Arabidopsis thaliana: one gene and its partners. The protein of the gene in region 2 interacts with the protein of the main gene of each other region in a pairwise test. Each region holds a gene or a part of one and is shown on either strand. Other genes may lie near its edges. The genes, in order: CRF3, PAP2, AT3G24490 and CIB1.

The links.
Region 1: the proteins of PAP2 (region 2) and CRF3 interact in a two-hybrid assay, tested with the Arabidopsis thaliana proteins (one large-scale study listed by BioGRID).
Region 3: the proteins of PAP2 (region 2) and AT3G24490 interact in a two-hybrid assay, tested with the Arabidopsis thaliana proteins (one large-scale study listed by BioGRID).
Region 4: the proteins of PAP2 (region 2) and CIB1 interact in a two-hybrid assay, tested with the Arabidopsis thaliana proteins (one large-scale study listed by BioGRID).

The regions. Positions count from the first base shown.
Region 1 is NC_003076.8:21,615,480-21,623,166, forward strand, and holds CRF3 (cytokinin response factor 3), read right to left. Parts: upstream 3,803-7,687; 5' UTR 3,547-3,802; coding exon 2,482-3,546; 3' UTR 2,235-2,481; downstream 1-2,234.
Region 2 is NC_003075.7:14,320,976-14,329,274, forward strand, and holds PAP2 (phytochrome-associated protein 2), read right to left. Parts: upstream 4,387-8,299; 5' UTR 4,239-4,386; coding exon 3,817-4,238; intron 3,713-3,816; coding exon 3,459-3,712; intron 3,379-3,458; coding exon 3,237-3,378; intron 3,093-3,236; coding exon 3,031-3,092; intron 2,728-3,030; coding exon 2,690-2,727; 3' UTR 2,321-2,689; downstream 1-2,320. Other genes in the region: emb2726 (elongation factor Ts family protein), read left to right, coding at 56-340; AT4G29070 (Phospholipase A2 family protein), read left to right, coding at 1,134-1,785, 1,933-2,060. UniProt on the Arabidopsis thaliana protein: Aux/IAA proteins are short-lived transcriptional factors that function as repressors of early auxin response genes at low auxin concentrations.
Region 3 is NC_003074.8:8,904,736-8,912,723, reverse strand, and holds AT3G24490 (Alcohol dehydrogenase transcription factor Myb/SANT-like family protein), read right to left. Parts: upstream 2,303-7,988; 5' UTR 1,703-2,302; coding exon 701-1,702; 3' UTR 501-700; downstream 1-500. Other genes in the region: MSH7 (MUTS homolog 7), read left to right, coding at 1-306.
Region 4 is NC_003075.7:16,494,441-16,502,490, reverse strand, and holds CIB1 (cryptochrome-interacting basic-helix-loop-helix 1), read right to left. Parts: upstream 4,101-8,050; 5' UTR 4,026-4,100; coding exon 3,723-4,025; intron 3,620-3,722; coding exon 3,359-3,619; intron 3,272-3,358; coding exon 3,137-3,271; intron 3,044-3,136; coding exon 2,972-3,043; intron 2,878-2,971; coding exon 2,707-2,877; intron 2,611-2,706; coding exon 2,545-2,610; 3' UTR 2,317-2,544; downstream 1-2,316. Other genes in the region: AT4G34540 (NmrA-like negative transcriptional regulator family protein), read right to left, coding at 559-725, 814-1,017, 1,122-1,359, 1,538-1,672, 1,809-1,985; KCS18 (3-ketoacyl-CoA synthase 18), read right to left, coding at 6,766-8,050. UniProt on the Arabidopsis thaliana protein: Transcription factor that binds DNA to G box 5'-CACGTG-3' and, to a lower extent, to E-box 5'-CANNTG-3' in vitro. Binds to chromatin DNA of the FT gene and promotes its expression, and thus triggers flowering in response to blue light.

The DNA of each region.
Region 1 (7,687 bases), on a different chromosome or scaffold from region 2:
GACCAAGTGGTAACCTTATTGAAACCCTCTTGGGACAATGTCCTTTCACGTCACAAAAGCGAAGGCCACATTTATCAGTATTAGATTATATATAGGACTATACGTATCTTGTATGAGAAAAATAAAATACAAATGTCGATCGTATTAAATGTGATATGGAATTTAAGGTCTATGTGTGTGCTTAACTTATTTCCACGTAAATTATTTGTTTGAATTATGTCATTTGTCACCTACTTTTCTCCGACATTGACCGAATTTTCAAATGAATTCTATACTTTCCATTAGTTATTAATTATTAGTATTAAGAAATATACCAACCGGCAAAAAGGCAATAACACAACTCGTATGAAGAAAAAAGCGACGTCCAAAATCTTAGTCGAAGATAGTTCAGACCAAAAGAGATTGGAAGATGGACGTGAGACAAAAGAGAGTTACAAATATCAGTTACGTTGATAATTGATACAGTATATTCTTTGTGTTTTTCTACAGTAAGACATAATGCTATGTTGGTTGCAACTAATTTTAGAAATGCTGTTAGATATAGCTAGTCTATGAGCCTAACATCATTCTGGTCTACCAACAGATTACAAAATAGTCTTCGACTACAGTCTTAAAGTTTAAATGAAAAAAAAAAAAAAAAAACTCAAATAATAAATGTGTTTATGTAAGACGGATTTGATGTTATTCGTGATGCTTCAATGGTTTACAATTTATATTGTTGGAAAAATGCAGATTGATGAAGAATATAGATTTAATTTTGAGAGAGATTTTCTCACCTGGACAATTTTGATTTGAGTTGGAGAACGAACCATCTTTATATATTTACTTTATAAATTTCTTAAATCCTAATCGTATTTGATCCGTACTCTGCACACCAATAACATCTCTTACCAAGAATAGTTTTCTCTCAAATTACCAATAGGACAATTTAATGATTGATATCTGTGTTTTTTTGTATGTACGTCCACTTCTTCCTTTTAAGGACCTTCTCACAACGAACTTACAACTAGGTAAGATACTACCCTGTGAATCAATTTACCATAAATATGGAAACATATTGAATTTTAGATTAATTAATTTAATTAATTTCAGTGATATAGAATCACAATCGAACGATAGCAAAAGCTATCATGCAATCTTTGTATAACAGAGAATATTTTTTTTTAAAGAAAGCTTTTAAAGAAGAAAATAAGTTATAGATCATATTTCCCTTAGTTGAAAGACGTTTAGTAAAACAAGGCGATGAGTCGGTGACTTGGATTCAAATGAAATCTATATAGTTACATTCGATACAAAAACAATTACAAGAGCTTTTAATAAAAGCTTAGCAAAAGTTTAAAGAAACGAAAACAAATCTGCAAAGGTTTCATTATTATTCCTCCCTGCCAAGGTTTATTTTTCATTATTCTTTTACTTTTGTGTTAAGGTTTTCATTTTAAATTTATCCATCAGTTGTTAGGTAAAACTAATTTTAGTCAAAGTAAATTTTCCGAAAGCAATATATATTTATCGCATCCCTAACGATCAACAATTAAATTAGACAAAAAAACTTGCGAAACTATATATATTTTTCACCGAACGAGGTGTGTGTCTCACGAATGACAAAATGCATTAGCCTTTGAAAACCTGAAAACAAAGTTTAATTTTCTTCCCAGTGGTCAGAATGTTCTTATTTAGTTTATTAAGATCTAACACACTCAAGTTTCACTTACAAAAACGACCATCATGAATAAAATGTCATATGGATCCCAAAAATCCATCTAAAAAAAACACCTACCACCAACATGTTCGAATTCTAGAACATTGCCACACACTTGTCTTTAGAAAGAGTTCTTGAATGATATTCGAAAATGGTTACAAAAAGTTTGTGATGTGTTTGGAACTCTTTCCAAAACATTTCCATCATAAACATGAATTTCTGATAATGTTCGAATTTAGGATTTGATAGTAATTTTCGGAATAATAAATGATATAATTTTGTGTTCTGTACAATTAATTAATTTACATTTTATTTTGAAGTTTATATTACTGACAAAATTTAAGATTAACATGACTATTACAAGACAAAACACCTCTTCTCAACCAGACCAAACCCAAAGGCCAAAACCTCTCAGTTCACTGGCCACGACCGTAATTTGCGCCTCATAGTATGACTTTACAAAGAGAATGCCACTTTGGCTTTTCTAAAATTAAATAATTAATTAACAAAAAATAAATAAATGCCAAATGCTTTGAAAATTAAACACGTTCGTGCAACTAATAACGCAATTACTTAAATAAATAAAGAATACAGAATAATTAAACTATTTTTCCACTATTTCTCCAAAACTGTTTTACAAGCTCCTGACAAAACTAAATAAATTATTAAAAAAGAAACAAAAAAGCTCATGAACTTATGAAAGAAAAAAAAGTAACACCAAAATTTTTCAGTCACACCATAGATATTTGCTTGATGGTTTCTTCTTCACTCTCATCATCATATTAAGCAACTAATAGATCTGATATCAATGAATCATCAAAATCACTAAACGTTGAACCCATATCTTTGATACTAGAACTTGTTAACTCATCTTCAATGTTCATAGTTTCACCACCCAAGAACAACATATCATTGAAGATATCATCATTTTCACAGAAAATTTGATCCATTGGTTGGTCAAATATTGACATCTCTGGTGGTGATTCATTGAAATAGTTGTCAAGAAACGGAGTATCCAAAGGAAATGAATCGTCTGATTCACCTAAACCGGTATTAAACCCGGTATGCCACCATGGTGCATTTGAAACCCCCGGTTCGGGTTTAGCTGATTTAAACGGTTGTTGTACTTGTTGAATCTCTTCTGACCGGTGATTGAGAACCGAAGTAGGAGATGAGAGATGTTGTAAATCTTCTTCAGTTGATTCAGAACTCGATGTTGTTGGTGTTGGCGTCGTCATAATAACCGGTTTCTCCTCAATAACCGGTTCCGGTTCTTCTTCTTCTTCCTCTTCTTGAGGCGGTATGGAGAAATTAGTTAAAGCGTCCGGTCCACGGAGTCTTATAGCGGCGTTATCATAAACCACGGCAGCTTCCTCCGCCGTCTCAAAAGTCCCGAGCCAAATCCTCCGACGTTGCTCCGGATCTCTAATCTCCGCCGCCCATTTCCCCCATGGCCGTTGTCTAACACCACGGAACTTCTTTATCTGACCGGAGACTGAAACTTTGTTATTAGGACGTTGACGACTCGACGCCGGAGATTGAGTTTCATCGGAGGAAGAAGAGAGTCTCTTTCTATCTTTCATCGAAACTCCGGTGACGACGTTGTTACAGCTAGGCTCAACAGTGATCTCGTTAACGAATCTTTTGACTCTCCGGCGAGGAAACAAGAAATCTTCTTCGTCTTCGTCACTTGATGAATCTGTTGCGTCAGGATCAGTATAACAAATACTAACCTTTTTCAATGACTTACCACCGGAAAGTTTTTCCGATGACTTTTTGGTGTATTTAGTCATTGAAGTCTTGTGCTCTGTGTACTTCAATGGTCGGAAATCAATATATTCGTCCATTACTGTTTCTTTTATGGACTCTCTCTATATTCGCATCAAAATGAAGAATATAAAAGGAAGAAAAGCTTGCGAATCAAGGAAAGTTTCTGGGTTTGTTGAGAGAGATTTCGAGAGAATCAAGAAGAAAATAAAACAAAGTTTGAAGAGATTTATCACGAGATTTTTTGGTAACAAGAACAAAAGATTTTTTTTTGGTGGGTGAGAGAGAAAAACGTGTTATGAAACAGTGATTTTTTTTAGCGATTCGCAAGTGGAGACCTTCTCTAGCTCACTCTTGAAATGCTAATTTATAGGATCTCTTCGGGGTTTTAGCCATAATTATTTTATTCATTTTTACAAAAGTAAACAATAAATTCGAAAACTATATAATATATAATATTTAATATCATTTGATTTCTTTCCTTGTCGAAGCTGTTTCTTTCCGCTCCTCCATCAGTGGCATTTTTCCGTAATTAACTACAAAACTCCAAGGGTAGTTTCGGGTATAAGAGAGTTGTTTAAAAATACGGGACGCCGCATTCATGAGCGCAAGTCGCATGGTGACACGTGGCGATATTAGATATTTGGCTCCTTCCTGTATGTGCTGAGTCAGCGCGTGGCTTCTAGTCTCGAATTTCGCGATTCATGTCACGTGACCCCCAAGATACCCGGTCCCGGTTTTTTTAAATTTTTTTTTACCTTTTTAGTTTATTTGATACTAATAATAAAAACAAATTTACTTACTACTTCTCAACAAATTTTTTATCACTCCACTAGCTTTGACCGACATTAAGTAATTAATGATGATTGTTGAGGGTAACTTCGTCTATTTGAATGCAATTTTTCAACTTGTCACGTACGAATGTTGAGGGTAATAAAATAAATGCGATTTTTTAACTGTTAGGGAAATAAAATAAATGCGATTTTGTCAAAGTTGAATACGTTGTATTATACAATATACATTTTTCCATGTTAGATAATCGAATAATGTTAATTTAGGGAAGATGAATATGTGACTGAGGAAGTTATGTATTTAATTTTAGATATTAAAATGATTTTAGGACGAAAATATCTTTGAATCAATATAAATATGGTAGTTAAATTGAAATGTTACCATTTTACAGCTAGAAGTAACGTGGCGAGCAACCTAGGATTTGCCGCCATTTATAATTCGGTGGTGTGGTACGTCTCTAGGCTTTTTTCTGTACTCTTTGTTCCCTCACTCGCTCTTCCACCACTGCTTGCTATTCGTACTTTCCACGCGCTTCTCAAGTATCTTTTTTTTTTTTTTTTTTTGAAAACTATATTTTTGATTTGTTGTAAAAACAATCTTCTACTAATATCTTTTTGTTGGGGTTTTTACTTGGGTTTAGGGATATCAAAGCTTACTACATCTGTTCCTAATTTTTTGGACTAGTAAAAAAATTATTTTTCTGTTTGGATGGCAATGAGATTTGAAATTATGTTATTGTAAACCAAGATATGATATACTTGCTTTTTAAATAAAAAAAATTATGATTGTATTTTAATTAAGTAGCCATTTTAATTTTAAATTTTACTCTCTCTAGTTCATAAATAGTGTAATTTAGAATCGTTTTTTTCTCGGAAATATGTGATGTTACATTTCTGATATATTAAATAGGAACATTTAAATAACTTGAAGATGTAAAAGACTTTTTGTTGCTCAATAAACATAAACCATGTACATTTGATAGAGAAAATGTGTCAAATTAAAAGCTAGTTTACATACATATAACTTAAACACAAAACACAAACTCTATGCATGTACATATATTAAAGAGTTAAAGACAGTTAAGCCAAAAACAAAACTGGTCTAAATTAACATAGATGCATGATTTAGAACATAATAACATCTTCATACCAACCTGTTACAAACTTTATGAAGCAATCTGCAAAAGACTATCTCTTGCTGCTAATCCGTTACAAACTTTATGAAGCATTCTGCAAAAGACTATCTCTTGCAGCTAATCTGTTTTGATAAACTGTCTTTGAACTCATCTTGATCAATTTGTTGAAAGCCGTTTAAAATCCAAAAATAAATTTAAAGATTTTCATATTATGGTTTCGAAAGTTGAGTAGGCTTTACCAAATTTATTCTATTAATTACTAACTTGCTTGCTTTTTTTTAAGAAAAAATATATCTTGAGTTGTTAAAAGTCGCTATGAGTTTTATGTGATATAGATGGTACGGATTTAAACTCCCTTATTTTATTTTTGATGAAAAGAAAACTCTACATGCATTGAAATTGCATTTTTCTTGCTCCTTTATTTGGGGAAAATTCAGTTATTCTATGATTAAGACCTAAGAATTAGAGAAAGTGATAGATTTGAAGATGAAAGTCCACCAAGCTCGAAACTAGCCGAAAGCAAACAGAGACTACTAGAAGTCAATCCTAAGTTCCTGAACAACGGACGGTCAAACCGGTTTTTCTGATACGAATTTTAGTGACAAAGTAGAATTCAGAACATTTTGCTAATTTATCACAAATTGGAACCATTAAGAAAATTTATATCAACTAATGAATTATTGAATGAATAGTCTACCACAAAAACTATTAATCTAATAATGGTGTTGCCACTGTGTCATCATCAATCTTACGATTCAATTTCGATGAAAAACGTCTATGAATTAGAGACAGTAAAAATATGTTTGATGATGTGTTTAGTATCGATTAAGAAACTTTTCATGATTCTAAACTTCTAGTAAACTCTATACCAACATTGTGCAAGATCTCAAACATCTTTACTTGGGACTAATTGATAAATGGTGCATATATAACAGTGATTATTAGGAAAAAGAAGTGAGATAGTTTTCAAGTCTTTAAAGGAGGGAATTCCATATGGTATCAAACATTTTGAAGGAATATGATCGATGTGGCAATCAAAATTTCTAAAATGTCCATCTTATCTTCCAAAATGTACTTGTTATATACATGTGGTATATCATATACATTTTAAATGACTATATAAGACTAATTAGTAAACACATTAGAAATTTAGCTAATACAGTACATCATTCAGAACAGAGCAAAAAAAAAAAAAAAAAAAAACATCATTTATAATAATACGGAAGAAATATATAACATCTGTACTCGTTAAATATTCTGAAGTATATTTTTGCCTAGTTCACATAATTTTTTTTTGGACATGTTTAAGTCAATAACATTAGTTGTAGAACTAGTTCAGATAGTTGTTTTATTTTTAATGGTAAAACCGAAAAAGCTCTATAATTTTGATCATGATAGTAATTCCTTTTCCCTAAACGTAAAAACGAGAATTAAACAGACTAAAACTTTGTAGGACAACATTAGGTAAAGAAAATTAAAAGAAGGGACGTAGGCAAAATATGAAGCATGCACGTGGGACCCAAAATCTAAAGAGTAAGATAGCTTTGACCACATAAAATAGATACATAGGTGTAACGCATCCTCACACGTCCCCTTCTCTTTTTCTCCTTTTTTCCAAATTTTTCCTTTTAACTTTATTATTTTTAATCGTTATGTTTTCTTCTATTTAAGCCATATTGTTCTGGCGAGCCAAAATTGAAAGTTATAATGTTCAGATTTTTGCAATCTTTCTATTTGTTTAATTCTTTCATGTTCATTATTAAAGTTTTGTTAAATAGAAACTTACGAGTTTGAATTTTTTTGTTTTTATATAAAATTTGACATCTTGGTCAATAAAATTATATTGAAACTTTCCACATTATGAAAATTTGTTTTTTTTCTCTCATCGGTGTTGAATATGATACTTTGACACATCGCTTTCGATATGAAATCTTCAAATACAAGGAATCACGTTATTTCTTTATTTTGTGTGTATGTTCTTTAACGATTTTTTAACCCCAATAATTGCATGTTTCACCAGAAATAAAGTCTTTCAAGTCAATGCATGAAAATAACATTCTTTATAGTTTAAAACGTAGCAACAAAATAAAATGAACGAATTGCTGATTCTTTGCAAAGAAAAATTTGACATAACACTTCGAAACATAGCAAGCAGTACTTTAAAGGAAAACCGACCGCATCTAAATCCTACATATGTGGTTTGTTGGATCCACGCAGATAGTCAGGAAGATCGGAACTCTCTCTTTAACTCTAATCAATTGCTATTCATAGTTAATGGATGCTTGTATACTTAA
Region 2 (8,299 bases):
TGAAACAATGGCATAAATTGGTTGTTGGTCTCTGACCTGAAATGTCTACGTGCAGGTGCAATATGTTTCAATAGAGGACATTCCAGAGGAGATAAAGCAGAAAGAAAAAGAGATTGAGATGCAAAGAGAGGATCTTTTGTCGAAACCAGAGAACATAAGGGAGAAGATTGTGGAAGGAAGAATCTCAAAGAGGCTTGGAGAATGGGCATTGCTTGAGCAGCCTTACATCAAAGACGACAGTGTTCTGGTGAAGGATCTGGTGAAGCAAACAGTGGCTACTCTTGGGGAAAACATCAAAGTCAGAAGGTTTGTGAAGTTTACTCTTGGAGAAGATAACTGATGAGACAGACGAAGTAAAGTTTTCAAATAAGGGAGCTCTGTTTTGTGTCATGGAGTTTAAAGTAAAAGTCTTCCTTTTTGTTTTGTAGACAAAATCTTCAGTATTCACATTTTGATTAGTTTTTAATCAAAACCTGTAATTTTTTGTTCATGAAAATATGAGATTTGCATTATATAAATGTGCATTTAGTGACAATGTGACATTATACACTAAATTCGGAGAAAGATTGGTTATAATGAAATTTTAAACCTTATTTTAAATAGAAGTTTCAAATGAATTTCCCTGAAGAAGTGAAACTAAATAAAATAATTTTTTGTTTCCTTTTGGATATTATATCTAAATATAAAAATCAAACCGACCGAATTACTACATACACTACAATAATGTTTTTTTCCTTTTATAATTTGTGGGCTAAAAAAGGTCGGTCGGCCCATTTTGAGCCCAATAAAATTTAGGGATAGATAAAGACATAAAGTAACGAACGATATTCCGAGGTTGTCATTTGCTAAGGAAAAAAAAAACGAAAACGTGTGTCTGTCTCTTCTCGTAGCGTCTCTCAAGCTCAGGTTCGTGAACATTCCAATCTCTCAATGCAAAAGCTCATTCGAATTATCCTTCTCTGTTATTTTCGAGATCCGATTTACTCTTCTTTACTAGTCAATTCTAGGGTTTTGAGTATTGATCTTTCGCAATTTCGAAATTTTCCCAATTTGAAAAGATAAAAATCTTCCCTTTTTGTCTGGATCACACTTGATTGCTGAAGTCATTGCATGCACTGTTTTGTTGTTTACAGATGAATTTTGGGTTGCCAAGTATATCTTGGTTTGGTAGCATCAGCACAAAGAAAGATGTAGCTATGATTGATTCCGTGACACCAACAACAACTTCTCTATTGGAACAGCCAGAGCAAGAGAAAGCAACAACCTTTCTTCTCAAACAGCCAGAGAAAGAGAAAGGCTTATTTGATATAAAGATATGGACTTGGTCCTCCTTCAGTTCAGTTCTTCCTTGGTCTGCAAATGCCTCTGATGGTAAGCAGAAACCCACTACTATCAACAGAGGGTTAAAAAGGCATGCTCTTTCTCGGAGGTCATCAAGATCAAATGGTGTGAATACTGTTTATCGGTTTAGACCTTATGTGTCTAAGGTTCCGTGGCATACAGGGACGAGGGCGTTTCTGTCACAGCTTTTCCCGAGATATGGACATTATTGTGGACCTAACTGGTCTAGTGGGAAAGATGGAGGTTCGATGGTTTGGGATCAGAGACCTATTGATTGGTTAGATCATTGCTGTTATTGCCATGATATTGGTTATGATACTCATGACCAGGCAGAGTTGCTTAAAGCTGACATGGCGTTTCTTGAGTGTTTGGAATCAAACAAGCGTGTAGTTACTAGGGGAGATGCTCAAGTTGCTCACTTTTACAAAACAATGTGCATTACAGGTAACTACAATCTCCTTATGCTTTTATATCAATGTGGGATTATTTCATAATTTACCTTATTATTCAGGTAGTAATATTTGATAATGGCCGTTTCCATTTGGTGATGTACTGATGTATCTTGAAACCATCTATCTCGAATGCTTTCAGGTCTCAAGAGCATACTAATACCCTACAGAAGTTACCTTGTGAAGATACAATACGGGCAAAATCTACTCGACTTTGGCTGGATAGTGAGCAACCTCAGCAAGAGAAGCTGGAGTTTTCAGAAAAACTGAGACATAAGGAAGTATATCGGAGGTACTCTGTCATCCCGGTAAGCCTTTGTGGGTGTCTTCACTTTCGTTTTGTACATAGAAGTCATAAAGAAAGGAATCTGAGGATTAGGTTCTTTAGTAGTATAGATATATATGTTTAGTATGAAGATGTGAAAACGCTAGTAAGTGTTGTGCGTCTTGTAAACCCGTTGTACATGTCTAGTAATAAACCCTTGTTTTTGAAGTCTTTTGTTTGAATGATATAAGCTCTATCAAAGGATCATTATAACTTCATTTCATGGAAACTCATGAACTAGAAAAACTATTTTCTATAGTAAAGTTTGCATCCAAAACATATATAACAATGAAAACCACATCCGGTTTACACACTACCAAAACTTTTATACATATGAATTATGAAGTCTTCCTTGGCAAACACACATACACAAACCCATATGTTTCATTAGATTGATTAGAGAAAGAAGTAAGAGGAAGAGGCCTTATTAGAGCTTAGTAGAGGCTGGTTTAAGAAAGATCAAACATCACTCCTAGCACACAAACACACAAGAATACTTCAAAACAAAATGGCTATTCAATTTCTTAAAAACATATTTTTTCAAATCATATATTATCACATAAAAGGGCTTTTCCTAGTTCCTGCTTCTGCACTTCTCCATCACCCTTGGAGCTGCAAAAAAAGAAAAAGCAAGATTTGTGTATGAATCATTGTGTATTCTTCATTTGTACAGTAGTGTGCAGTAAGTTCCTAGTGTTTAAGAGGCTTGGAAAGGACTAAATTGCATCGTTTTAGTTTCTCCAGTAATATATTTCTTTAGCTTCAGAATGTTTATAGAATCCAGCGAGAAGCTTAAGAACCATGAAAGTATTAGAAGGGTGTCTTAGTTCAAAATGGACCACCTTTCTAATACATCTTAAAATCGAGCACATGGGTGTGGAACATTAAACTAGGGTTTAGTAAAGAAATACTAACCTAAGCCGATAGCCTCAGAGCTCTTCATGATTCTCAGCTTCTTGCAGGAGCATATAAACATTCTGCAGAGGAAAAAACAGTAAGAGAGCTTCACTGATCTATATTCTTCTGTTAAGCTAAAACTGTGCTAAGATCATTAGATATGATCTAATACTTGATGTTAATTTACATTGTTGAGATTGATCTTTTAAAAATCAAAGACTTACTCCCAAGGGACATCTCCGACCAGCATCCAGTCACTGTCTTTATCTTCATAGGTTACAACATACTCAGAACCACGCAAGAGATCAGTCAAGCGACTCTCGTTTAACCCATCTCTGCCACACCCTCCATGAGAACCAAACTGACCTGAAAAAAGGAACCAAAAGAAAACAGTTAACTCAATCACTGGTATTGATCTCAAAGAAGGAGAGACTAGAAAACGTTACCAATGGTGAAGCAACTGAACATCTTCTCAAGAGCAGAAGAGAGCTCAAGGTAGCTTTTGTAAGTCTTGAGATCGATTTTCCTCAAGTAAGGAGCACCTTCCATACTCACTTTGACATACAAGCAAGGTTGTTCTGGTCCAGACTTAGCTTCTGCTTCTTCAGTCTCTGAGTTATTACCAGGTTTCTGAGATTGAGAAGAAGCCATTGAGTTCTTCCTGAATGATCTTATTGGTGGCCATCCCACCACTTGTGCTCTGCTCAATCAAAAAAAAAAAACATCAAGAATCCCTCTTCACAGAAATCATAAAACAGAGCAAAAAAGCTGAGAAAAATCTAAAACAGAGCAAAAAAAGCTTACTTTGAAGCTGGAGCTGTAGCAGAGCTCTTCTTCTCCTTAACCGGAACAGCCGGTTTAGTGAAAGTTGTCGACTTTCCATCTTTAACGACGGAGGTACGGGGACCAGAACCCGAGCCGACATCACCAGTAGCAGTAGTGGATCCAGGAGAGAAGACCCATTTGTTAGAGTCGTTAATAGCGTCGGAGAACACCCTTTTGGCACCTGACACGGGACAGCTACTCTTGTTGAGAGCCAAGAATCTTGAGTCGACTCGCTCCGGCGACTCAGAACCGGGTAAACCGAGTCTTAACTCGGTAGCCTTGAAATTGAGACCGTTGTTATTGTCTCTGGTTTTGGTTTTGTCAGACATTGTTGTTGCTTCCATGGTTGGAAACTCTGACAAACCTATGTAATCATGCTCTGCTGCTACAGATACAGACATTTTTTTCAAATATAATTGTGGACAAACTTTTGAAGCATTTAGTGATTACAAAAGAAAAAAAGAACAGAACACTTTCTGAGAGAAATGGGAAACAAAAAAATTTAAAGATGAGATCAAATTGTGAGTGAAAATGAGAAATGATAAAAAGGTGTGTGAGAGAGCTTTATTTTTTTTTATTTTTTTACCTTTAATCTTCTTTTTTCTTGGAATCGTATTATTTTCCAAAAGTGGACGGAAGTAGTATACGTAATTTTATATTCATATAAACCGTAATTAGAAGTAAGTACTTTCCTCTTTTGGCGGGTTTAAACACAAAATGTTGATTTAAGAAAATGGTACACATGAATGTATTGTATATACACGTTACGTTTTGTGTAGACATCTACTCCCCGACAGGTCACAGAAAGCGTCCTGAAACCTTTCCTATTATGCCCTTGTCTCGACTCTCGTATTCCACGTTTTGTTTTACTTTTTACTTTTGTATTTGAAAAAAACAATTTGCTATCTCATGAAGGTGTGCATGTTATGCTATCATGCAAAACGATTTAGTATCTAAAATACGCTTTTGTATGCAATTCCTTTTTGATATATGTATAGAGATGTTGTAATGAGTCACTAATTCTGTTTAGTTTGGCTTAACATTATATGTTTTAGATTCACTAGACGATTTGATATAACTCATAAGTTAGCTCGTGAAACCAATCTTTACTCATGAAATTGAGTGATGATAATGATAATCTAATAACGGTGAACCATTTAATCATGTGCATGATAGCATAACATATTCTATAATAAATCAAACGTATTGGAGTTTAAACTTCACAAACTTGTATAAATTCACTAGTAGTTTAGCTAACGAATGGAGATTATTAGTAAGTCGCCAATAATTGCGATGGAAGATGATATTTAGGCTTGGGGGTGAGAACAGAGAAGAGAATCTCGAAAAAGTTTTGGGCCCATAGGCTCTCATTTTTTGGGTCCACCAGAAGCATGAAAAGAGGAAAGAAACAGTAGGGGTAGCTCTTTGCCACTTAGCCGCAGTAGCAATATTGAGCAGTGTTCCCAAAAAGAATTGTGGTCTCCACACTCCACTTTTCATTTTTATCAGACAATGTTTTCCCAAAATCGAGCATATATGCTACAGTACATTACAATTTGACCTATTAGTAAAACTTTGATACTTGGATCATAGTCTTAAATTAATAAAAGTTTAAATGATCAAATCAGATTTAACTTTGATAGTATTTATGCCCATCTAATCTATCTCCAAGTATATTTTTTAAGTGGATGACTCAATCTACATTTAAACGTTTCAACTCATATTTTAACCCATATTTATTAAACCAATATATCTGATGCTATAACAATATAACATGAGAAGAAGTATATGAAATATTGTCATTTATATTCTACCAGTGATTTATATATTGTTTGGCTGTATTGATTAAGTCATTCATTTGTAACAACGATAAGTATATACATAGCAAGAAGACATACAAAAAAGACCTGTAAGTTGCAGTATTATAAAATATCATATGCATAGTAATTTGGTTAAAGCCTGCCTCTAAGGTGGATCCATCTTTGGATCTTATCTAAAGCTTTTTAGATTTGTGTTTTAGTGTAAGTTCGAGTGTCTTAATCATAAGGTGCCTTTCTTTAACTTTTCCTTTGTCTCTCTCTTTTTTTGGGCAAGGTTTTTGTCGTTTTTGGGACATCTCAACTTATATTCCACCTTAACTCACCATCTAATCGTGCCATTAGTTACTTACAAAGCTATCTAAGGATACGAATCTTTAGTAAAAATGTGTCTATCACTATAGAAATCATATGAAGGCTATAAAATCTAAAGATTAGTTGGAGTTACCCAAAGTATTTACTTATCTATATGGATGTTGCATCACATGTGGCGGTTTTAATTATTGTTATTATTATATATGGCCACGTTGGGTTTACTGTATTAACAAGAGACATCATAAGTAACTCTAGGGTTTAATTATACTAGCGAGAGACAGCTTAAGTAACTTAAAATGTTGGTTTTGAATGTTTGTTTATAGACTTGTGTGAGCGACAAATACATACTATAATTTTATTTATTTTTAGTACTGATGTTATACTTAATGTTTTTTCATTTTTTTCTGCTTTTCATCAAGCATAATAATTATGACTATAATTGAAAACTATGTAGTTAGTTGAGGATCGAATGGAATTACACTAAACCTAAAATGTTAAATCAGTGGACGACCGTACTTACAGCGTTAGTGAAAGATCGGTTTGTGTCGTAATCGAAAAAAGAAGAAAAAAAAAGAACAAAGAGACAGTGTGAATCTTTAGACAAAGAAGCCACTTACCCTCCTTGATTTAACATCCATACAAGAACCTCATGCTCCATTATAACTCATAACCTACCATATCGAATCAATCCGATGGCTATAAATGATTAGATCGATATAATTTTTTAACCTGTCATCAAATTAGATCGATATAATTTTTTAACCTGTCATCAAATTAAACCGCATAATGGTAACTGCCGGTTTTGTTTTTCTTATGCGGTTATTAATTTCGGCGCTGTCTACATATAGAACACACACACATATATATAATATTGGATCGTTTGGTGGCTGAGTATAATCTCTACACACGCCCTCATATATATATACTAGATAAGGCCGCCTAAATAGGCGGATGTATGATATAAATTTATTTAAATATTTATCAATAATATTTAAACTTTATATAGTAAATAGTAATCTACACACTTTTTCTAATATTTAATATAGTAATTTTTATATTACATAAAATTTTAATCATACACATTCAATTTTACTTATATTTTAACTATCTATTTCATCATAATAAACTATTTTGTTATTTATAACATAAAAACTACATTCAAACACTCTGTGGAAACGACATCCCGTTTATATCCTCTGACAATGTCGGACTTACAACTGTTGGACAAACATCAAATAAATATAAACCGAGCAGTAATTAAAACGCATAGTTTGCTAATCCATTCACTATGCGATTAGTTTTACTATACACATGAGTAACTCGGATTATGCAGTCCCTATACACTCCATCTTATTAATGATATTTGAATTTTAAATAGTAACGTAACTCTCATACTTTTTCAGTATGTAATTTAGTATTTCTTTAAACCAAATTTCAATCTTACAAATTCGATTTTGCAATACAATTTAAATACCTATTTTACCATAATAAAATATATAATTTAATGATATACACTCCATCTTATTGTTAGTTTTTTATATAATTTAATTATATACACTCCATCTTCTTGTTAGTTTTATATTTTAGATAAGAAAATTGTAAGTTAAATATTTAGATATAAACATATTAATTAGTATATATAAATATCTTTGTTTTTTAGTTTTCTATTTTCTTTTAGGAAAAAGTAAAAAAAAAAATCAAACACATGTCAAAATCTAAAATCGTTCAAATAACCACGTGTCATGATCTCGTGAGTTAGTAACTTTCAAAATTGTACTTTATATAATAAGATTAACTTTTTTTCTTAAGGTATTTCAAAGATTGTAATCATGGGATTCATTTGATTTTCTTTAAGATACATATGGTATGGGCTACATTATAGAAAGTGCTTGATATTGGGAGATTGACTTTGTCCATCAGAGTCGACGTTTCTAAGTCATACTCAATGATATGGGTTTACGTATGTGCTTAATATATATGCATATTGCGCTCCACTATCAAGATTTATGAAGAAAAAGAATGCTCAATTTCCACATGATGAATATTCACATTGTTCTATTTAACGACTTCATATACTAATTTCTTCTTTATATACACACAATTTTGAGTCGAAAAATCTATTAATCTTAAATGTATAATGATCTTGATATATACTGAAAAAACGTTGAACCGATCGATGGATAAATTTGTTGGAAAATTAGTGAAAAGTTTGTAATTAATGTAACTAGATAAAGAAAAAGGCAGAAACTACAGTGCTATTTCGGCCTCAATTCTCAAATGATCTCTAGATTCCTATTATTGAAAAATGCAATGAAGAATGGTGTGTACAT
Region 3 (7,988 bases), on a different chromosome or scaffold from region 2:
TACCGTTTAACCGAGGGAGCTTGTCCTGAGAGCTACGGACTTCAAGTGGCACTCATGGCTGGAATACCAAACCAAGTGGTTGAAACAGCATCAGGTGCTGCTCAAGCCATGAAGAGATCAATTGGGGAAAACTTCAAGTCAAGTGAGCTAAGATCTGAGTTCTCAAGTCTGCATGAAGACTGGCTCAAGTCATTGGTGGGTATTTCTCGAGTCGCCCACAACAATGCCCCCATTGGCGAAGATGACTACGACACTTTGTTTTGCTTATGGCATGAGATCAAATCCTCTTACTGTGTTCCCAAATAAATGGCTATGACATAACACTATCTGAAGCTCGTTAAGTCTTTTGCTTCTCTGATGTTTATTCCTCTTAAAAAATGCTTATATATCAAAAAATTGTTTCCTCGATTATAACAAGATTATATATGTATCTGTCGGTTTAGCTATGGTATATAATATATGTATGTTCATGAGATTGGTCAAGAGAAATACTCACAAACAGTATATTAAGAAGGAAATATGTTTATGCATTAATTTAAGTTTCAAGATAAACTGCAAATAACCTCGACTAAAGTTGCAAAGACCAAACACAAATTACAAAACTTATAAGACTTAAGTTCTGAATTCCCTAAAACCAAAAAAAAAAACAGAACATATTTTGTTGCATCTACAAACAACACAAACCTACATAGTTTATAACTTACTCATCACTGAGATTAACATCAGAATCATTCTCCATTTCTTCATCTTCACTCTCATCATCATCACCACCACCATGATGATTCTCCTCCTCTTCACGTAACCTAGCAATCTCACTCTGAGCTCTATCAACAATCTGCTTCTTCTGCAACTCCAAATCTCTCTGAAAATCAGCTCTCATCTTCTCCAACTCCTTCATTTGCTCTTTCTTACTCTTCTCCATCTTCTCATAAACCTTCCCAAACCTCTCAACAGAATCCGCCAACATCTTATACGAAGCAGCGTCATTAACCTTCTTCCTCTCGTACTCAACCTCATCATCCTCATCCTCCTCCTCTTCAGAATCACCAGGACTATCCATCATCTCATCAAACCCATTAGACTTATCTAAATAAACCTTAGTGTTCATAAACACAAACTCACCTGAATCAACACCACAAGCTAAACCTAAATCCGACTTGGGCGAAACACAAAGCAACATATCCAACTTATTGAAAAACGACCATTTACTTGAACCTAAACCTGATTTCTCAACCTTAATCTTCTCTTTTCTATACTTCCTCTTCAAGTCATCAATCATTCTCCTACATTGCGTCTCAGATTTCTCCATCCTTAGCTCCTCACTCACTTTCTCAGCTACTTCATTCCAATCCTCGTTCCTCAAACTCCTTCTACCCAATTGCAAAAACCTATCTCCCCAAACTTCAAGCAACACAAAAGCTTCTTGCTCTCTCCAATCATACGCAACTTTAGCATCACTAGGACCAGCAAATTCAAACCCAGAAACTACTTTGTTTGGTTTCTGTCTCTTCTGAAACCTCTCATTTCCACGAATGTATCCTCCTTGTGGATCTTCCTCTTCTCCTTCGACTTCATCTTCGTCTTCTTCTTCATTGTAATACGCGTGACGCTTAGGTATTGGTCTACTATACATTGGATGGTTTTGCCGATTCAAAGAGTAAAACTTTTTTGGGTATCCTGTTTCATCTTCGCTGTCACCCATCTTTGAGCAAAACCCAGAAAAGCAAAAGAAGAGAGAAGAAAGGCAGATCTAGGGTTTCAAATCGGACAGATAGAGATTTACCTGATTTTTGCACCTAATAGAGGAATATCTTGGAGGGTTTAGCTTTGAGAAGAGATAAGTAGAAGAAATTGATGAGGTTTATAAACCATGGCCGTGTCTAGGGTTAGGGATTTGCATTTTCAGCCGGGTCGGAGTAGAAGAAAAGCTACCACCACCGGTGAACATTGCCTCAGCCAGCGACGGAGTTTTGTCGCGGCGTTTGTTGGGACCATCCACTGGGTCATATTGGGCCAGTTTGGACAGCACTAATGGGCCAAGAGGACCACAATTATTTAATTTTAACCGATAGCCCAAGAGTTCCCAACTAAAACTAACGATCATTAAGAAAAGGAGAGTCTAAACTCTAACGAATATCAGCTTTGGTGTCGGTTAACTTATGACTTATGGGGTCAATTTCTGACATTTAGGGTCATAATATTTTGACCTTTAGCGTCATATTGGCTCAAAGGATTTGAAGCTGTCGATTTTTGGTGGGTTCGAAGATCTGCGAATGCAGTTACTGATCGACTAGCTAAAATGGGTGCCATTGAAACAATATGTTATTTTGATTCTCTGCTTTATATTCTTAAATATGCTACGTATGCTTTTAATTAATCTGAATAAGTTCAAAAATTAAAAAGGGCTAAGTTTTATTTTTCATATCACGGTGTTATTACTGAACTTGCAAGAGTTTAAGCTGCAAGAATATGAATTGCATAAGCATCTACTATGGGAGCCTCGGTTGTGGGAAATCTCCATGTGTCACATTATGATTCATACGTTTTTGAAAAATGTGAAAGTGTATCCCAACGATAATTCATTTAATACACTATGTAACGTATAATTTTTTAAATTATTAATGATGAAATCTTGTTTGAAGATGATAGTATTAAATTAAGTGGACTAAAATAGAGAAATGCCAGAACTCTTTATTTAATAATTGTTTGTTTCTGTGTTTTAATATAAATAAATGAATGTTATGCTTATTGCCAATGAAAATGTCGACCACGCTTCAATGTTGGTGAGTAATTATTATGCATCAAAAAGGAAGTAAGTATAACCTTAATGGAAATGATCATGGTAGTGATAAGGATCATAAATAATCGCAACGAATTTTGTTGCATCAATGCATCATACTATTGAATAACTAACACTAGTCTCGTACAATTTGATTTTAGGTGTTTAAATCTCGTTAGTGTAAATATAACGAGATAAACATTTACAATACAAAAAAAAAATTGAATTGTGTGACCTTGTAAGAACAGATTTTCGAAAAAAATTAAGAGTTGAGTCATTGATATGAAGAAGCTTCCAAGACAATGATATATGAATTGGTTAGAAACAAGAATTAATATTAATCATAACTCTTAAGTAACTCGGTCATTCCCACATTGACATAAGTAAAAAATAAATTTTAAAAGATTTGATACTTGAGTTTGGTATTCCTGCTAAGTAAAAAAAGAAGAAAAAGATTTGATACTTGAGTTGAGTTGGCATTGTGGACTTTAATTTCGTTTGAATCTCATTAACATGTTAGGCTTAATTATAATTAAACCTAGACGATTGACCTGTTTTGTGGGTAGATGTACCAATATATTTCAATGATTATAAAGGTTTAGTTTTGATCTCTAAATTTTCAATTTTTTTTAACAGTTTCATTTATAAAAAAAATTAATACAATTTTTTTATAAGAAAAACAGTATAGTTTAAAACAAGCTTTAAAAATTTCAAGTCTCAAATCAAATAAATAGAGATTGTTTTTTATGAGACAGTAAACACTACAACATCAACTTTCTTATAAAATATAACAAATTGTTTTACAAAATTCAGTAGGTAGAGTCAGACAGGTATGTATTCGTATAATTTTAACTTTTCAGATTTTTTTCATTAATGTAACTCATAAAACGTTTAAATAGATTAAACAGTGACATCTCATAATTACCTAATACTGATAAAGCAACAAACAATTTTAAGGTAATAATATAGTATTTTTATAAAACGGTTGAGCTAAATATTTGAGATACATACTCATTGTTCTTTAGTATCCAGTACTACTATTTACACAATCAACAAGAACAACAAAATTGTGATATATATTACAGTTCCTCCACATGAAAATAATAAAGTGAAGTAACGGTCCTAGGCTCCTAAACGGATATCTTGGGAGAGAGATGTGAACAAACTTGAAAATTCGTATGAAAGATTTTTGATAAGCCAATCATATTACATGTCACAAGATATCGATGAAGTGAAAATAAAAATGAAATTAGTATTTTATGGTTGGAAGGTCGCGTCGAGAACATAAGTGTAACGGAGAGAGAGAGTCAATGAGTGATCATAAAACCGTTACGAAGTTTCTCAAGTCTTTGACAACAATCTCTTTCAAACGCGTTATGAGTGGTTACGTTCGCTCACTCCAATGCCAACTATGTTGCTTTCACCAATTTTTTGTCTTTTGTCTTTACTTTGAGGCTTTGAGCATTTATTTCTTAATCTTTTATTTATTTTTATTTATTGATTTGACAAATATATAGTCCAAAAGTATCTTCGGTGATTTTTTTGGTAAGGGGATTCCTACGAAAGCAGGATGCTCTATTGCCAATAATATATATAGTTTAGTTAATTAATGAGGAAGTTTTTGGTCTAGTGTTAAAGATAAAATGTTTGCCAAAAAGTTGTAAAGCACTTTGATTTACATGAGATTCCAAATAGAAAAGACTTATTGGATGGAGAAGAAAAGAGAAATTGGTTATAAAGGATTTGATATTTAACCAAAATAAAAATTAAAAAACAAATTTGATGGGACACTGACTTGGTCTCTTGGTTAGAAGAAAAGAGATTTTGGATGGTCTGGTTGCTAGTAGATGATCTCAACCATAGTGGTCTGCTTCACCTCACTGGTCAAATGTTCATCTAAGCACTAAGATTTTGTATTTCTCTACGCAAGAACTTTTATTCTGTGTGAGCTTCCAGATTCATTAGTACTGGAAGGTAAAAGTAACTCTGATACATACTCAACTAGAGAATGAAGTTCACATATCTATAGAAGGATAGAAAATACAACTAATAGCAAATGATCATATACTCTAAGAAATAATTTCTTACCTCATAAGAAGATATGACAACCTTGTCATCTTCACAATTGCATGATATTTTCATAGTACATAATGTTACATACAATTATCAAAAATAGACTATAGAGTCTTTATTTTTTAAAAAAATCGCCAAATTTATAAAATTGTATGATTAGTTGGTGAAAAAAACAGAGATGGCTAGAGTGTATGAGAAACATAATGAAATGAATAATGAATTAACAAGTAACACTTGATGCACACACAAAAAAAAGAAAAAAAATCAAGGAACACTATTTTTTTGTCAATCATAATGCATTACAAATATAGAAAAGGTTTGTGGTGTATCATCCATTACAAGAACCCGATAATCCTAGAGATACAATAGCGTTATAGTAAATGTACATGAATATTTTGCTAATTGATCCGTCATTTACCATCGAATCTTCTAGGGTTTTTGAATTCTTGTGCATGGTTCTCATGAATCACATCTAGTCTATTAAGGAACATTATCTTCCTTATAATTACATTAACAAGACTAAGCATATAATAACAAAATACTTAATTTTATTTTATTCATTTTCTTTAAATTGAAAATGGCAGAAATAAAGATGTTGCATTGTTGGCTCAACAAGAGAAACTCGATAACCTATATTCAAATGTACAAATTATGTTTAAATAGTAATTAAAAGCATTTGGGTTCTTAAGATAATGAATGAATGTTCACACAGTATTTAGCGCACAATCAAGTGGACAAAAGACGTTGAAGACTTCATGGGAAACTTACCATGCGACCTACCTAGTTATTATAACTTCTTTCACTTGGCCTCCTCATATAGACGAAGCCGGTAACAGATGAAAATGTTGATCACCTCGTTCTATTATTTAAATCAAAAATTCATGACAAAATTTAACCGCATAGCATTGTTGATTTAACAAGAGAAGTGATAACCTAGATTCAAATGTATAATTTAGGTTTTAAGAGTAATTAGAAGCACTTGGTTTTTAAGAAAGTGAATGTTTGAGTATTAAAAATAGCAGTTGGTTTAAAATTTAAAAAGAATAAAACAGTACCAATCGTTAGATCATTATAGTTTTACTAGCATATTAAGAAGTGTTGCGAGATTTGTGATGAGAAAAATAGTGGTTACTTTCATATAAGCTCAGGTGAGAAATCTATATGTTTCTCCACGGAAAAGAATACTATGCATATTATGCATAATTTCCAAATTTATATACAATACGTACAAATCTAATAAAATAATCAAAAATATGTATATGTTTGCATGGTTCACTCTAGATCCTCCATACTAAGCTCCTTCATCAATCATCAACGGCTGATTTTTAGTGCAACACTTTCACCTTTTTCAATATTTTACACTGTAACAAGATCTGAATACTTGTATAATTCCTTCATATGGAGACACGATCTCGTGAATTAGTGAAGTTTGCATTATTTATGGGACCTTTTGGCCCACAAGAAAAAGTGTCAGGATACAAAACTTGTGTGTATAGGACGAGTTATACATACTTCTTAAACTAGTTTGAATGTTTAATATACGTCTCGACTCACTCTAGATGACTTCAATTCCTTCACATTGTTTTTCAACATAAAAAACATATGACTTCTTAAAAATACAAATTCAAATACTCTATTGTAATTCGGTTCTTACAATTCTTTTTGGCTATTGGCGAAATGTGCTCCTTTTGGCACGAATCATTAACATAACTTTATTTAAAAACTTCATAACGAATGTTTTACATGATGATGTACCATGGATACCAAGTAAATTTGAACAGAAGTGATTATGCAAAAGTAAAAAGCATATGGTTATTTTTCTACATATTTGTTTCGTTAAAGTAATATACTATTAAATTCGACTATCCAAAAATCGACACATGTCGGCGACCTAAAAGCCTCGAACATCCCGCTGGTCTATGAGAACATTACCTGATGTGTCAAAACGTCCCCACACGGTGTGCTTCATTGCGGCAATAACTAAGAAAAAGCTCCAAAAGCAAACTTAATTAGACAACTAATCTTTTGATTACTAAAGCGATTCGTTTGGTCCTCCTTCTAATGATTTTTATAAAACCTGGTAGTTAGGCTGTTAGGTGTCGCGAAATTCTTATAATTTATTATAAACCTTAATGGAGTCGGTTATCAAATTATTTGTATCCATGCTTTATAATAGTGTATGGGTTTGTAGAATGAATAAAAGATTCGAAAATGTATGGGTTTTATAATAGTGTTTTGGGTTTTTAAAACAGTGTTATACTTCTACATATCTTTTATGAAATCATAAATCTGCTGACTTAATTGTTTAGTGCTGCTCCTTGCCAAAGTTTCTGCCCGTGAAATGATAATGCTAGTGCTATAGAATTTGATAAATGTTTAGTAATATACATTAGAAAGTAGATATTATTATTAGGGTAAAACTAGGCTAATAGGCATTAATCATTCAGGTTATTATACGTGGATGTTGAACTCACAAAATGTTTACTAAAGATCGTTGGCATCAATATGTTTCGAAAGATTGCGAGCTTGCGCATCTCACCACCTAATGAAAAGCTGGTAGATAATCAGAGACATCACACATATATTCCCAAAACAGTACATGAACAATCATCACCGTAATCAGTCGAATATGTTTATTTTGATAGCATAGTCTAGGATCGAGCTTTAGCGGCGCATCAAATTTATGAACCATGTGATTCTTGCAAAAGATCGACAAGTAGCTAATATATCCGTCCCGCAAATTCGTAACATGTATCTGAATTCAGTCGAAGTAAAACGTTACAATAGCATTTTGCATCTCATAAGAATTTTTTTTTCTTAACTAGACTCTCTTATCGTATTAATTTTTTTAAACATATATTACATACAACATTTCGTTCGCACAAACAATTAATCTAGCAATGTGCATGGATTCTCGGCACTTAGGTATACCGTAGCCATCAATGATATGCCAATTTTTTTTTATAATGTTTTAGGTTTTTGTAATGCCAAATGCAGGGAATTTTATGAAAATGATTTAAACAAATTATCCACTAGCTACCAATAATATCATAGTTATTATTAACCTAAATCTAAGTGACTAGACACCACAACAACCTTATAATATATTTATGTATTCTAAATAACAAATAACCAT
Region 4 (8,050 bases), 2.2 Mb from region 2:
TATAACTATTTCTTTTAAATACGCATTTGACGTGTTCCGTTGTGTGCCATAGTTGCTTCCTTTCGCGCTGTGTCTATTTGCTACCTTAAGTAAAATATCGGAAATATCTTTCATCTACTTTTGTTCTTCTGTTGTTCAAGTAAATGATTAAGCTTGCTTCTAATTAAGTTCCAACTAGTTGGATTTGACTCCAACTCTATTGGAAGTTTATTCTCAATAACCTCTCGTAAATCAAATTCTTAAATCCTTAAAAACAATTTTATTCTTGTTGTGATCTTTAGTGTGTGATTTTCTTGTGGTGAATTACTATATTTCAAGACATCAAGGCATGAACCTAATACCTATGATCTTGTTACCATGTAAACAGTTGAGGTTTACCATCATCAGAACTGCAGAAGTAATGTGTTACACGATTAAGGTCGAAACTCAGATCAATAGGGTAAAGATAGTGCTACATGAGATAGATTGATTCAGCCCTCAAAAACAGAGAAATTTTGGAAGTGTAAAAGGTAAACTCTGAAAAATGAGAGTGATCCCTTTGCTGTTTGGTTTATAATTCTAGAGAAGAGTATCAAGAAACTCGCTCACGGTCATGTATTTGACATCAGGGTAAAGCTCAGTACCATTCACTCCACCACAAGACTCGATGTCGAAGTATGTGTGATCTCCTTTGATAAAGACAGAGTATATGAATACCATCTCCATGTTATCCGGATATGGAGTTTCTGCATCATAGAAACACAAAGCTCAAGTTTAAAAAAACAGTTTTGCAAATATGTTAGTAGATGTGCTGATGATGTTATGATGATGAACCTTTGATCTTCTTGAGAAGTTGATTCTCTGTAGCAAACGTTTTCTCAAGCTTCTTCTCAATCTTGCCCTCCCAGAGCTCGACAAGATCATTCATGGAACATATGTTTCCGGGCGGGCTAAGGTACAAGGTCTTATTCAGTGTTCGAGGATCATCTATCGTCTTGATAGTAAATGCTGCAACATCGACATCATTCACGAAAACAGCTATACACAAAACAACACAGAAAAAAGAAACACTCAAATTTCAGACCACAAGATTGTATATTTGCAAAAACTTGTAGCTATAGAATTGAGCAATAAGGACAAACCTTTAACGTTTCCATCTCCAAAAACTGTGACTTTATCTGTTGGAGGAGATTGAAGCCCCGGTTGCACAAGCGATGGAAGTAGAACTCTCATGAACAGTCCGCAGCAAATGTATGTATATGGAATCCCCTCTGATTCTATCATATGCCTAATCTCTGATTTCTTCGAATAGAAGTCATGATCAAGATCCGAGACTTGAGTTTTATCAGGATTTGCTCCATATTCAGCAGGAATAAACCTCTGCAACAGTAATTAATCCATGTTCTGCTCTAGTTAGATATCTATCCTCTCAATCTCATCATCAGCCAAAAGTAAATTCAAGAACAATATTAAACAATACTACAATGTGATCTATACTTAAGACATGATCGAATTGGTGTAACAAAAAAAAATCCATGATTAAGATATAAGAAGAGACCTTGATGGAACCAGCTTGTTTGATAACTCTGACGAGGAGTTTCTGATCAAGAACATGTTTTGATGGAATTGCAGAGATCACCACATCTACTTTACTCACTGCTTCTGCTAAGCTTCCTTCATCCTCCAATGAACCCTAGAACCCATCAAAAACCAAATCCAAATGAAAACAAGCAAAAAAAGCCAAGACTTTTTCAAAGAGAAGTCCCCCAATAAGAATCTACAGAAGAACCCTAATGAGGAAATTACAGAGATATTGCAAAGAGAGAGACTTTGAGGAGGGTAACGCCGGCGTCGGAGAGAGATTTCAGCTTATCGGAGAGAGTGGTGTTTCTGATGAGAGCGAAAGTCGGGTGACCCGATTCGATGCTGAAACGGGTCAAATAGTTCCCTAATCTTCCTGTTGCTCCGATGATCAAAACTCTGCTCTTCTTCTTCTCCTCCTCCATTTATATATACTCTCCGTATAGAGAATTAGGATAGTTTAGTTCCAATGGGTTGGTCATAGGTTTTAATCTCTGACTCAGTTCTCTTACATTGTCGTCGTTTTGTCCGCCACGCTTAACAGGTGTTGTTTATTCAATTGCTTTAAATTTGGGATTAGTCCCGCTTTTTCAAAGTAACCAAAACATAGATTAGAAGATTGTTAGTGATAAGATGTAAAACATAACGTTAAACGACTGGTGTCTTGTTTCTTGATTTCATGGTCGCATGACTTGTGGCATTGTATACTAAAAAAAAAAATACTAATGGATGATCATTCACCACAAGAAGATGAGAACACACCTTGAATTAAAGACACAAGTCCACCGATAAGAAATATATTACTGGACTGGTTTGCAAATTATACACAATAATGTCTACACTCTTTGATACATCAACTAATGGGCGGGGGATCTCAAGTCAATAATCTAGTGGAATTAGTAAATAACAGCTACTGGTTTGCTCTCTCTTCCGATGAATAATTTGAATTAGGGAACATTGTTATGTTGTGGATTGGTTTCTTAATCAAACTCCTAAATTGCCATAGAGATTCTGCACATGAGAGTCCCACATCGAAGGAGCTTCGCCATTCTGTAACAATCAAAACATATTTAGTAAAAAATTATCATATCCAAAGTTAAACTAAAGGATAGATCATAATGAAAGAGTATTAAAAATATGACTTACGTTGAAGCATGACAATGGATCAGAACTGGTATTCACTTGCTGCATTGGATTGACATGAAGGTAACCGGAGTTAACCATCTCACTAGAATAACCAGAGTGAACCATCTCATGAGAATAACCGGAAAGAACCATTTCAGGAGATGGCACCACAGTCATTGGAGTTGAGGCAACCTGGTTTTGAATCCACATGGCGTATTTTAGCTCATCTATAAATAGCCTTTAAAGTTTTGTTTTTCATATAAGCATAAACAAATCAATGACTAACCTCTTTGGCAAAAATGTCATCCATATCAAAATCCGGCCTTGGATTCACAATTGCTAGTTTCATCGATAAGAACTGTTTTAAACAATATTTTGATAACAAATTAGGAAGGTAATGCAAAATTAGTCTTTAAAACATATTTTCTATAAATGGAAATAATTTTCAGACCTCGATTTGTCTCTGAAGAGACTGAACATAGTTAATGATTTCATCAAGCATCCCTGCTTTGCCTGTGATCTTGTCGCATCCAGGAACCAAATCTTGTAGAAACTTCATTCTCTCACTGATCTTTTCTCTTCTAACCTTCACAAATTTAATACTTTAATAATTAGTCTCAATGATTACACAAAAAACAAAGTTAATGAATTTTAGTTAATGAGGCTCTCTTACTCGTTCTGCTATGCTGTGACTATCAGTGGCTTGGCCTCGTCGTGCACGAACATGAATATAATCCGTTTTCTCCAATTCCTTCGTCACTTTAGATGAATCATTAGAGAAATTGTTCTCTTCTTTCTTGGCTTTGTGTTTCATCTTCTTGATGCTTTTTGTGCTCCCATTGTTTTGCTCTGTTATTTTCGACTTCTCTTCTTCTCCTTCTTCTACTAGGTCATCTCTGTTCATCGTCATCTTCTTCTTCTTCTCATTACAATCCTAAAAGCACACACAGAAGAAACAGATAAGCCAAATCTCAAAGTAAGATCTGTTTTCTTTTTCATTTATAGAACTTAAACTTAAGTTTTCTTTACACACGAACCTTAGTCTCTGTATCAAACTTCCGTTTCTTGAAATTTCCAGTCCCAAGCGTCGTTTCCGGCGAAATTGAGAGTCTTGAATCACCTTCCACCGTCGTCTCACCGTACATCATCGGAAGATTCAAACCGGCAGTCGAAAGATAGCTGTCCATCTCGCCGCCGGTAATCATTGAAGAATCGGCAAAGAAGCCGGCGAGAGGAGAATCAAAGGTGGGATTGAGGTACTTGAGGTGAGCCCTTTGGCGCTCTAGGACCGACATGTCAGGAAAATTGAGCAAAAGGTCACCTCCTATAGCTCCATTCATCGTTATCGTCTTCTTTGGATTCAGAAAACAAGTTGCTTGCAACGAGAGAGAGAGAGAGTGGAGAAAGAAACAGAGTAAAGGTGAGGGTAGAAGAGGAAACGATATTTATAACAAAAACCATCAGCTCTGTACTTAGTCCATATTCATCGCATCTAATAAGGTAGGCCCATATACAAATCTGGAAACTTTATATGTTTTGTGATAATTGATATTTGCGATGATTGAAAATTGAGAAAATAACTAAAAATAGTGAGTGACACAGAAAACTTATAAAACATTTATTACGTAATATATGCATGTATTATAGTGTAAATTGGATCTTGATTCACTAAGAAAGGATAAGCTTGGGATGTCTATGCGAATTGGAGCGTCTCTTCTTTAGGTTTCTTTCATTATAGGAGCACGTGAATGGTCACGTGGGAATGGTCTAGTTGTAACACAATGAAAAATAATTTTGTAGTTTACAAGCTAGTTATGATTATATGAATCAGATTGGTGTGTGCGCTAGATATTTCACCTAATTAAAATGGGGTTACAAAGAAAACACTTTACCTCATTTCAATAGCTCTGGTCTTAGTTTAGCTACGAAGCACTGTTCACATGAATTTATTACATCCTTCGGAATCTTGTTATTCAGATCGATCATCATCATGTGTCTGATCGCCATGCTGTATACATTGGCTTACTCTATCGTGATAGGCTAATACTGAGACGGCGCAAGAGAGGCTGCCACGTGATCGCCATGCTCTTTTTCGATGCAGAAGGCCCATCACATGAATTACTCACAAGTTAGTTTTAGTCTTAGATCACTTTCACCGATTTCGGTGAGCAAATATTTCGAAGAAAAGGACCTTCCATTAAAGTATATATGACATTGTTTTAGATTCTCAAATATTTTCATTTATCCGACTTTTTATGTTATTGGAAAACGCTTTATGTGATTGATATAGGGACATGAAATCTTCTCGATTCTATAATGAAAACCCAACTCTCTTTTATTTTGCTTAGTCCAGTTATATATTAACCTTTAAAGCAGATACATGGAGTTAGTAGATAAGGAAAGGGGAGGGTGTAAAGTTGTTAGAAACAAAGACATGGTCGTTGCCTTTTGATGTGATGAATTTGGACTAAGTCCATAGAAGATGATGATCAGCTATTTCCCTCCCTATCATACTATACATGCATACACTAAAAAAAGTAAAGCCACACACCTAATTTGTGGGTTCCCCATCACCTTGTACATATATGTTCATAAATTCATGTCGACATGTATGTAGATGTTGACATTTGATTCGGTGTGTTGTATTGGAGATAGTTATATTATTTATACAAAAGTATTTAAATACATCTATCCAATTTCTTTCCTTAAACTGGAGAATTGATCTGTGCACGTATATTTATCTATGTTTAATTAAGTGTTGTTACTAACTTACTAAAAGATATCTATATCAATTTGTATATGGGAGAGTTCTTAATTAGAATTAGAAATTGCTGTAAAAAAAATTAGAATTAGAAACATATCATCGACGTAGAAATTTCTGATGGAACAATAATGAGGGGAGATCCAATGGTCATGACTCATGAATCATGATCACATGATGGGAGCCTAATTCCTATATGATGGGTTATTCTCGATATATGCATGGGAATTAGACGTATAAATAAGAGGACTTTTTTTTTTTTTTTTTTTTTGGGTTTTAAAATAAAGAAGAGTTGTGAATTTTATAAACTTTCATATAACTTGCATGTATTTTAAAGGTATACAACTTTCCTAAGAAGTCTTTTTCGTCAAAAGAAGAATTGTTTTTTTTTCTTAACATCCAAGAAGTATTTATATTTTTTATGGTTACTAGTTATTGTTATAAAAATGATTTAATGATAAATGAGTTATTGTTATATAAATGAAAAATGTATAAAAATTGTCTCTGACCCGTTGCTCCATAGTTAGTTTTTTCATTCTTTTGTATTCTACGGTTAGTTACTATAATTTCCTTAAAATAAAAGATTTCATGTTGTAAAAAGTAAGAAAAACGCATCTTTTGAAATAAACAGATATATAAGGTGAGTTTTAGCCAAAAAAAAGAATGAAAATATGAGTGTCTTTTTTTGGCTGATGTAGGCTCATCGGGGACTGCTCCAACTCTCTGACACTTATCATTTTTAATTATTCAACTATCAATTGAATTTTATGGGCTTCCCTACTTTCAAATCTAAACAATTCAAAATCATACATAAACTAAAGTATCCATTTTTATATTTAAATCTAAACAACCAGGAATATAACTTTCTTCACATAACCTAGACGGCAGACAGAGCTGGTCAGCTGGATGAACAAACAATCACAAAGAGTTGATTTTAGTTCTAAGTTAGGTAATTAAACAGTCCCACAACATAAGCTATTATTTATTATTTAGTGAGCTAATTAAGACAAAACGCATAAATCGATATGCTTACAAAATTTTTGTTTTACAAATCCTTAATTAGAGAATAGGAGTGAATGTTTATAAACTTTCATTTCTTTAAATATTTTATGAAAACTAAAAATATACTGTATTTTAAAGATGATTTTGTAAAAGAAATCATGTAAACCTAAATAGAAACGCTTAAAATCGCGTTTGAAACTATAGAAGAATTGAACTTCTTTATTTATAACGAAAAAGAGAGAACATAGTAAACATCTAATCATAACCAATAAAAGAAAGGAAAGACAAAGTAAACGTTGGCACTCAGATACATCAAATTAGGACCGACCGTTTTGGACATGAGTCTTTGACTTTGACAAATCAGAATCAATTTTAACCGGATATCTATCGATGCAATGTTGCCAAGGACTATTTGCCGATGCCTTGACATTGCGTAGAGCCACCCAAACCGCACTATTACACTTAAACCCTGATCCTAAAGCAATCTGCCAAGCTTTATTCCCTTTCTTCATTCTTCCCTTTGCCTCTATGTATGCTAATTCATACCAAATTGAGCTAGATGAAGTATTCCCAAATCTATGTAACGTTGATCTAGATGCCTCCACATCGATCGGCGATAGTCCTAAGTTCTTCTCTAGCTCATCGATCACGGCTCTGCCTCCGGCATGAATACAGAAATGGTCAACAGCAAGCTTGAAATCCGGAACATAGTAATGCTTGATTTTATCCTTTAGAAGTTTCTTGGCGACGAAGGTAGCGAAAAAAAGAAACTTTTCGCTTAAAGGAAGAATCAACGGACCCAATGTTGCTATATTTTTCGTAAGTGTTGTCCCCGCAACATTGGTTATGTCCTTTGACAGACAAACTCCGATTTTGCCGCTCTCATCGTCTTCTTGTTGCACACATCGAAAAGACTTGTCATCAGCTCCAGTATGCGTTCGGACCGTGTGAACTAGCTTGTACTTGGACCGTCTCCGGTCTCCCGACTTGTTAGAGAGCAAAATCGCGGCCCCACCAACACGAAACAAGCAATTGCTAACCATCATTGATCTATTTTCTCCAGCATAAATGCCTTGTGTGATGTTCTCAGTGCTCACCACAAGAGCATAAGTGTTTTTATGAACATGCAACAAGTCTTTAGCCAAATCAATGGCAATAACACCAGCACTACAACCCATTCCTCCTAGATTAAAGCTTTTGATGTTGCTTCGGAGCTTGAAAGTATTAACGACCATAGCGGATAGCGAAGGAGTTGGATTAAACATGCTTGAGTTCACCACAAGTATACCAATCTCTCTAGGGTTAACTTTGGTGTTCTCGAATAGATTTTCGAGCGCACCGATGATAACCTTCTCTGTCTCTTCACGTGACGCTGCAAAAGTCTTCCGCGGTGGTACGTGAATGAGTCCCTCAGGACTGTACGTCTCATCACCTAGACCTGAACGCTCTTGAATCTTCCTCAGGAAATCGAGCGAGGACGGATCATCACATGCCACGTTCCGTGAAGAAGTATCAGCTTTTCTTATTTGGTAGAAAATATCCATGACTTTAGAGACACTAACTTTGAGATGCGGTGGTGGAAGGTAACACGAGTAGTCAACG